2 linked regions of the Notamacropus eugenii genome follow. The protein of the gene in region 1 binds, or shares a complex with, the protein of each later gene. Links are inferred from orthologs where the notes say so. Each region holds a gene or a part of one and is shown on either strand. Other genes may lie near its edges. The genes, in order: OGDH and TCAIM.

Region 1 (3,904 bases):
GATATGTCATAGGTTAAAGGTCTCCCAAGGAGTGCAGAGTCAGCTTTGGCTGGCTTTTGCTGACATAGGAAGAGGCATTCTCTGAGTTTGCTTTAGAGAGAACAAAGAGATTATTCCAAAATTTTATATTAAACATTATCACCTGTCAGACAATATTCTTCCTTGGCTATTTTTTCCCCCAGGGCTAAAGTGCAGGGTCCAGAGTCAGGAAGACCTGAGTTCAAATCTGGCCTCAGATACTTACTAACTTCATCAAGTCACTTAACTCTGTTTGCCTCAGTTTCCTCATCTGTAAAACGAGGTAGGGAAGGAATAGCAAACCACTTCAGTAACTTTGCCAAGAAAATTCCATTTGGGGTCAGGAAGAGTTAGATACGACTAAACAACAAAAAGTTTTTGTTGTTATTGTTTAGCCTAGCACAAACAAGTTAAATGATCTAGGTTTCACAAAACTAGTGAGTACACCAAGAATAATTTGAAGCCAGGACTTCCTGAGGTAAAGTCATACCAGAACACCTCTACAACAGCTGTTCTTAACTGTTCATCTGTCATGGATCCCTTTTTGGCATAATGGCAAAGCCTATGGACCCCTTCTCAGAATAATGTTTGTAAATGTATAAAATAAATTACAAAGAATTACAAAGGAAAAAAGTCACATTGAAACAGCATATTCCATATTAAAAAAATAAACTTCAGAATCCCCATGTGAAAGAGGCTGCTGCTCTCTAACCTACACGTACTTATTCCTATTATCTCATGAAAACATTAATATTTCACTAATCCAATCAAGCGACTGGTGGATAAATGCTTGCTGAACTGAATTTAACTAAGTAATTATTCCATCTCAGATGAGGTTCCAGCCCCAGCTGTCAACATCTAAGGAAAGGCAGGGCCCTAGAAACGATGACTAAGCGCTGTGTGACCCGTGCGGAAAGAGTCGAGAACCCACGTGCGGGCGGGGGCCCCAGGTGCCTCCCTGCTTGGCCCCATCTTTTCTACCGCCTTCTCCGCGCTGCGCTCCAGGGTCTGCGCGCGAGTCCAGCACGCGCGCCCTTCCACTGTCACAACATTCCATTGGCCCTGGACGCCGCAGAGACGCGGAACACTGTGACGTCACAACTCGGGCACAGTGGTCCCTATCTCTAGAGGGGGCGTCCCGGGTTAGGCCTCACAAGCGACAGCGGGCCCAAGGGAGGAAGGTCCTCCCGAGAGGCAGCTGTCCGGTTTCACGCGCCGGGAGTCCAGAACTCGGGGGTGGCACAAATGCATAAACTAGACGAGTTAGGAAACTGAGAGCCCAAGGGCGGTGTTTCACCTTCTCCAGGCTCAGAGGGGGCGGGACAGGCTGCGTGGTGACGTAACACGCCGGGCGGGAGGGGGCGGGGCGAAGGCACTGGTGTTGCCGAGTGTGGGGGAGTCGGTACCTCATTCCCGGGTGGAGCCGGAGTCGGAAACAGGTAACTCCTTTGCTCCTTCTGTTTGTTTGTCTGGGACCGGGGCTAGGTCCAGGACTGGGGCTTTTGCTCCGTGGGCTATAGGGGCGGGATAGCTACGAACAAGAAGCACGGACATCGTGTCCTTGCAGCCGCCGCCCGGGTGACTTGGCCGGCCCTCTGGAGGGGGAGGGGGTTTGGGACTAGGGGGTGGGGGGGAGAGAGAACGGGGTAGGGAGGAGAGTCAGAACCAGGATGAGGCTGAGGGGAGACGGGTGGGGATGAGAGAATTCTGAAAGACTTTCTCTGGAGCCAATGGGCAAGGCTGGAGCGGTTTGCGGGCGAAGATTGGCGGCTGCCGGCGCGCGCTGCGGGTGCCGCGCGGGCGCGGCGAGGATTCTTATTGGTGGCCTGGGATGAGGGGGAGGGGTTACTTCGGCGGGCGGATGTGAGGGAACCAGTTGCTGCCTCCTCTCCCGTGACCCACAAGGTCGAGGGGAGAACATCACGTGGGCATTGGAAAGGAGGTGATCTTGTCCGGACACCTCGTCCCGTTTGTCCCTTCCTATTCTAAGTCGGGTCTGAGCCACTCCCACCCCCATCCCTCCAATCCTGGGCACGCCCTACTGCTCCTTCGAGTGTGTGGCTGCCTTGGGAGTAGAACTCGCCCTCCCTTTTGCCGGGGGACCCGCCCCGCCCCGCCCCGTCCCGCCCGGGAGTCCCGCCCACCTGGCTGTCCAGCCCGGCTGGAGAGCGGCCGGCGGAGCCCTGGGTGGGACGTTGTAGCCGCCTTCTTGTCTTGTTTGTGCCTGGGTCTGGCAGAGCCGGAGTCCCCTAGTGGAACCTGCGTCTTGGATGTGCATTTCCGCTCGGACTCTCGGTTCCTTAGATTTCGGGGCTAAGGGAGGTCCTGGAGGAGACTGGAGGCGTTTTTACAACCACACAGTTACTTTTTTAAAGCCTATTAGTTTTCTCTAAAAACTAGGGAAGGAGCAGGGCCCTTGAAGGGGCAGACTCATCAAGGACTTTATTTTTTGACCTCTCATTTCCGACCTTGCTATATTCCCCCTCAGTTATCTTTCCTTAAGAGACTTACGATATTATCTGCTTCTCTTTCCAAACCTCTGGGAATGAGAAAAATAGTAGTTACAAAGTACTTTTAAACTAGTGTATGAAGTTTAACAGACCTAAGCTGAGTGGCACCTTTCCATAGAGCCTGCTTGTTCTAGCAAGAATATCTTTGTGACAAAGTAACACTTAAAATGTTAGAAGGTTGGCCAGTTGATGACCTTTCAGACAAGGCTGTGAGGCAATAGAAAGACTTAAGATTTTGAAAGAAGAGGATGTAGGTTTGAATCCAGGCTCTTCCACATGCTAACTATGTGTGACCTTGGAAAAAATAATTTCACTTTTTCTCATTTTCTTTTTTTTATGTAGAGGATAACGTGCTTTCCCCCCAATTTTTTAACATTTTTGTTTAAATTTTTGAGTTCCAAAATCTTTCCCCCTCACTTCCTCCCCTCCCCCCTTCCTGAGACAGTAAGCAGTCAAATATAGGCTATCCACGTGCAATTATGCAAAACATTTTCATATTAGTCACTTTGTACAAGAAGATTCAAATAAAAGAAAAACATGAAAGTGAAAAATAGCATGCTTCATTTAGTATGTATTCAGTCAATATCAGTTCTTTCTCTGGAGGCATATTATGTGCCATCATTAGTCCTTTGGGATTGTCTTGGATGGTTGTATTGCTGAGAATAGCTAAGTCACAGTTCTTTGTGGAAAGTGTTAGTGTGTATAATGTTCTCCTGGTTCTGTTCACTTCATTATGCATCCAGTTCACAGTTTACAGGTTTTTCTGAAATCATCCTGCTTGTCATTTCTTAAAGCACAGTAATACTCCTATAATGGAGTCATATACCACAGTTTGTTTAGCCATTCCCCAATTGATGGGCATCCCTTTGATTTCCAGTTCTTAGCCATCACCAAAAGAACTGCTATAAATAGGTCCTTTTCCTTTTTTTTGAATGTCTTTTCCCCATCCTCATTTTCTTGAAAGGTTAGGTAGCAGATGACCACCTCTAAGGTCCCTTCCAACCCTCCATCTCTGATCCTAAAGGAAGAAGGGGATTTGTAGCTTCTCTAATCCACGATCTTTGACAATTCCCTTAACTCCCTGTTCTTCACTTAGGAGTCTCATTTATTCACACTTTCCAGAAGTTCAGTAAAGTGTTTTTAAATTAGTAATAGGGAAATAAAGTGAATTATCAAAGGTCTGCAACATGACTAACCAAGCCCTCAGAATCTTATTAATGAAACTTTTTTTTTATCTTTTAAAGGAAAACAGTTTTGCCAAACTCACCTTGTCTGCTACTCCAGTCCATCTTTTCTGACCCCACTTTCTTTTCATTGCCTTTTGCCAGCTTCCTATCTAGAACTGAGAAAGGGAGAGATGGCAAACTTCATCTACT
Region 2 (3,904 bases), on another chromosome or scaffold:
ACCCCCGAACTTCACTTGTTTCTTGTCTAAACTCTGAATTCACATTTGAAACCAAACGTTTTTCTTTCTTGGATTTTTGTCTCCTGTGAAATTATGAACAGTATTTCTAATACTTTCAAGTGCTAGAACAGCTTCATAGTAGCTGTCCTCGATCTTGTTGTGTTCCTCCTTTGTTTTTGAAGAGAACCATAACATCAGGGAAATGATGACATGACTTGCAGTTGACTGATTTGAGAGAGGAAGAGCTGTGAAAGGTCCCCAGCCTCACTTTCTCCTCCAGAATCATCTGGGTCCAGTGGCCAGACATTCATTAGGACAACTGGAGATGGCCCAGGATGCAGTGGGAGACCCTGGCCCTTTTAGGCCTTCTCAAGTTTTCACTTTGAGTGAGGTAACACCCTGTCAGTGAATAGGCCTCTTTAAGAAGTCCATTAAGGGATGGTCCCTTGGATTGAAAAAAAAAAATCAGACTCGGAGGGTAAGACCCTCAGGGTTGCTGGTCAGAAGAGCAAGTTCTTACTGACATTCACCCTAAGCCAGGAGGGGCCCCAAATATAACCATGAAGGGGAGCCTGGGCAGGGATGAGCTCTAGAGTGAAATGGGCTTCAGGTTTGGTCTCTGAGAAGAGAGAGGAGAGAAAGAAAGAAGACAGACCCTTTGGCCCAGTACTGCCCGGGGAGGGCAGTTACCCAACTGGCTGGGTCCCCATTCTGGTGCTCAGGTCCAAGCCATCACTTCCCTGACGTCATGGTCCTCTTCAAGAAGGCAGGACAGATGCCACCTGTGAGCGGTCCACGCTGCCCCAATGCCCCGGCGGCTGGCTAACTCGGCTCACCCTTGCGCTCTCCCTCGTGGATGACCGGAAGCTGTCCGGTGACCTTGGGGTTTGCCGGCCGGGTTCCTGCCTTCCTTCCGTCTTCCTTTCTCTGTCTCTCTCTCTTCCAAGACCAAAGTTTAAGCCCATCGCCCATCTCACCCTGGGGCTCGCAGACTGGACGACCTCTGCTTCAGAAGGAACCTTCTCTTCTGGCCAGCGGCCTTGAGGGTCTGCCCCGGACGCGCTTCTTAAAGAGGCCTCAGTGAAGCCTCACAAGGGCCAGGGTGTCCCCCTGCATCCCCGACAAACCCGCCTCTGGAGAGGAAAGTCAGGCTGGGGACCCTGCACAGCTCTCTCTTCTTCCCCTACGCGTCCTCTTGAAAAGGACTGGAGTCACCAGAGACCTGGGAAACGTCTGGGAGTAGAAGAAGCCTGGTGCCCGCGAGGCGGTGCTCAGTAGTGTCGGGAGCCCAGCACGTGCTCCTAGGCCAGGGGGCGCCACTGCGCAGGCGCCGAACGGCCGGCTCCGAGCGCCCCCGGGGCGGCGCCAGCCAACCAATGGGGGGAGACGAAGCCGGGCCGGCTCGAGTGCGCACGCGCGGGCGCTACGCTCCTCCCTCCCCACCCCCGCGCGCAGCCACCTGCCGCACAAGTCCCCCACCCCCGCGCGCGCGGGACCGTATCCCCTCCCTCCCCGCGGGCTCATTCTCCCTTAAACCAGACGACGGGAGTGGGCGAAGCTCTCCCGGGACAGGCTGGTAAGGGGATCGGGCAGGGGCAGGCCGAGGGCTGCGGGTAGCACCAGGGTCCCCTGCAGGGGAAGGCTGGAGGAGAAGCACACCGAGCATCCGCCAGAACCAGTGGGTGGGGAAAGACTGGCTGAGGAGGAAGGGCCACTGGGAGCAGCTTTAACTGGTCTCAGGCTGCGCGCGCCGCGGAGCAAGGCCTGGCACGGCTCAGCCAATGGGCGCACGGCTCCCTCAATCGCGTCCTCCTCGGGCCTGACGCAGCCCAGCCAATGAGCGCGCGGACCCGGGAGCGGTCCGGGGCGGGGCCTGGTGCCGCTCATCCAATGAAGTGCAGGGGATGTCTCTTACCCCTCCCCCTACCGTCCTCTTAGACCCTGGATGGGGCGGGACGAGGTCGGCCACATCTCAGCTAATAGACGCGCACGATGGGACCGTTCCCTTCTCTTTATGCTCGGCTGCCTAGCCTTGCCACCTTGTCATCCTCCGTGTAACACTGCAGAAAAGGGCGGGGCCAGGGAGCGAGGCGTGGCGCGGATTAGCCAATGGGCGCGTGGCCCGGCGGCTCCTCCCTCACGTCCTCGCCTCCTCCTCCGGGGGCTCGGGAGCTGAGGTGGGGGCGAAGGTGAAATGGACCGACCGGGTCGGTGCCCTCGCGTGGGCGGCCTTCCACGTACGAATCGGGGCCCCCGCCGGGCCGCCTCGGGGGAGGGAAGGTGTAGCCGTGTGAGCCGCTCCGGCCGCGGGTCCGGGCGTCCCGCCCAGGTGAGCCCCCCGCCGCCGGGGCTAAGTGAGGAGGGGTCATCACCCTGACCTTGATCCTGCCCCTCCCCTCCCCCGCCGCCGGGCAGGCCCTGCGGACCGCGCGGGCCGGCCTCTGCCCCGGGGCGGCCCCGGGTGTTTCCTGGGCGGCGGGAGAGCTCAGGGATCCCCCTGGCCTGTGGGGAAGGGAGGCCGTGGAGACGAGGGGGGGCGGGGTCGTCCTCCCTTTACATCTCGGTGCGCCAGTCCCGAAACTAACGAGAAGCTCCCTGCACTCCCCGCGAACTTCCACGCGCGTGGGGTGGCTCCGAGCCTCTCGTCCGCCCAGCGCTCACCAGAATGAAAGGCCAGCCCCGCCTCTGTGGTCACACAGCGTTTGTCTGAGGGCGACACTAAGCCCACCCTGGACTAGGCACCGCCAAGTGAAGGGGGGTCCGTGCGAGGGCCTGAGCCGGGGCGGGGGAGGGGGAGGGCAGGGCAGGGCACGGCCAGCGAGTGGCATCCAGAGGTCAGAGTCCGCCGGTGTCAGGAGGATGGAGAGGCAGGAAGACGAGGGGGGCGGGGCGCCCTGAAGGTCCCCCGACGGTGGGTTTGAAGTGTCCACTGGGCGGCAGTGAGGCAGGCCTGCGCAGAGGTGATGGTCAGTAACAGAGCCCGCCGGGGTCAGCAGTGCCCAGGAGAGTGTGAACCACGTCAGATCCATGAACAGGTTCAGGAGGGCCAGGACCGTGAAGTGACCCAGAGATCTGGTGCTGAAGAGCCAGATTAGCAAGAGCTGAGCCGGGAAATGGAGAAGAACGGAGGCCACCTTCTCAGGGCATTTGGCCAAAAATGGGAGGATGGACATAGAATAAGTAGCTCAAGGATACGGGTGGTGAAGTGAAGGGTTTTAGGTTCTGGTTGTTTGTTTTACGGATGAGCAGAGCAGACCAGCCCGTGTGAAGTCAGGAGGGAAGGGAGCAGTTCATAAGGAGAGGTTCTGAAAGTTGATTTCACAGGTCTAAGTTGGGAGAGTTGAGTCTAGAACTCTGTCTGAAAAAGATCTGGAGGGTCTTAGTGGACTGCAAGATCATTGTATTCCAAGAGTGTATTATTTGGATGGAGTTGTGATCTCATCAGTTTGCATATTCTCTCCAGGGCTGCAGCTCAGAACCATCTATGGTGACCTTTGTCCAGACTCCCCCTGTAAATATACAGCCACTCTCCGTGCTGGGTGATGTTTGTCCTGGACCTCAGCAGAGGCCATCATGGGTCCATTTCCCCCCCTCAGGTCAACCTCTTCTGGGCTTTCATCTCTCTCATGACTGACATTAGGTCTCTTCTCTTGCACAATCCTTGAAGGTAACGTATTTAATGTGCTTCTGCCTGCTCGTGCCAACCATCCACTTCTCTGGTGCCCTTTGGGTGACCCACAATTGTAAATCTTCAGAGACAGTTGTGCTGCATGATTCATAGCTGTATAGCATCAGAGGGAAGATAGAAATGGGCCTTTGTTTCATGACAATCTGTGAGTGTTAGGACATCCTTCAAAGTTCACTAAATGCCAGCCTGCATTTGAAGAGGGACTGGGGAGGTGAA

The links.
Region 2: the proteins of OGDH (region 1) and TCAIM are in contact, whole or in part, in a cryo-EM structure (PDB 8I0K), measured with the Homo sapiens proteins. The link is inferred for Notamacropus eugenii from reciprocal best matches to the Homo sapiens genes OGDH and TCAIM. Residues at the interface, in NP_001425937.1 of Homo sapiens: Gly301, Tyr304, Arg323, Tyr354, Arg356, Ile358, Arg364, Asn365, Lys387, Glu391, Tyr394, Cys395, Gly396, Thr398, Glu399, Lys401, Lys402, Lys561, Met602, Pro605, Glu667, Gly668, Ile669, Asn709, Met734, Ala735, Ser736, Pro737, Asn738, Gln772; in NP_001269842.1 of Homo sapiens: Glu214, Gln234, Arg235, Ser236, Trp237, Gly238, His241, Ser244, His247, Ser248, Arg251, Gln255, Asp272, Arg273, Thr286, Met287, Asp288, Val289, His290, His291, Glu331, Leu332, Gln333, Pro334, Val335, Arg375, Tyr376, Glu441, Ser443, His473.

What each region holds. Positions count from the first base shown.
Region 1 is NC_092872.1:522,892,386-522,896,289, forward strand, and holds the start of OGDH (2-oxoglutarate dehydrogenase complex component E1), read left to right. Parts: upstream 1-1,299; 5' UTR 1,300-1,457; intron 1,458-3,856; exon of another isoform or gene 3,857-3,904. UniProt on the Homo sapiens protein: 2-oxoglutarate dehydrogenase (E1o) component of the 2-oxoglutarate dehydrogenase complex (OGDHC). Participates in the first step, rate limiting for the overall conversion of 2-oxoglutarate to succinyl-CoA and CO(2) catalyzed by the whole OGDHC.
Region 2 is NC_092874.1:22,531,493-22,535,396, forward strand, and holds the start of TCAIM (T-cell activation inhibitor, mitochondrial), read left to right. Parts: upstream 1-1,431; 5' UTR 1,432-1,576; intron 1,577-1,935; exon of another isoform or gene 1,936-2,329; intron 2,330-3,600; exon of another isoform or gene 3,601-3,667; intron 3,668-3,904. UniProt on the Homo sapiens protein: May regulate T-cell apoptosis.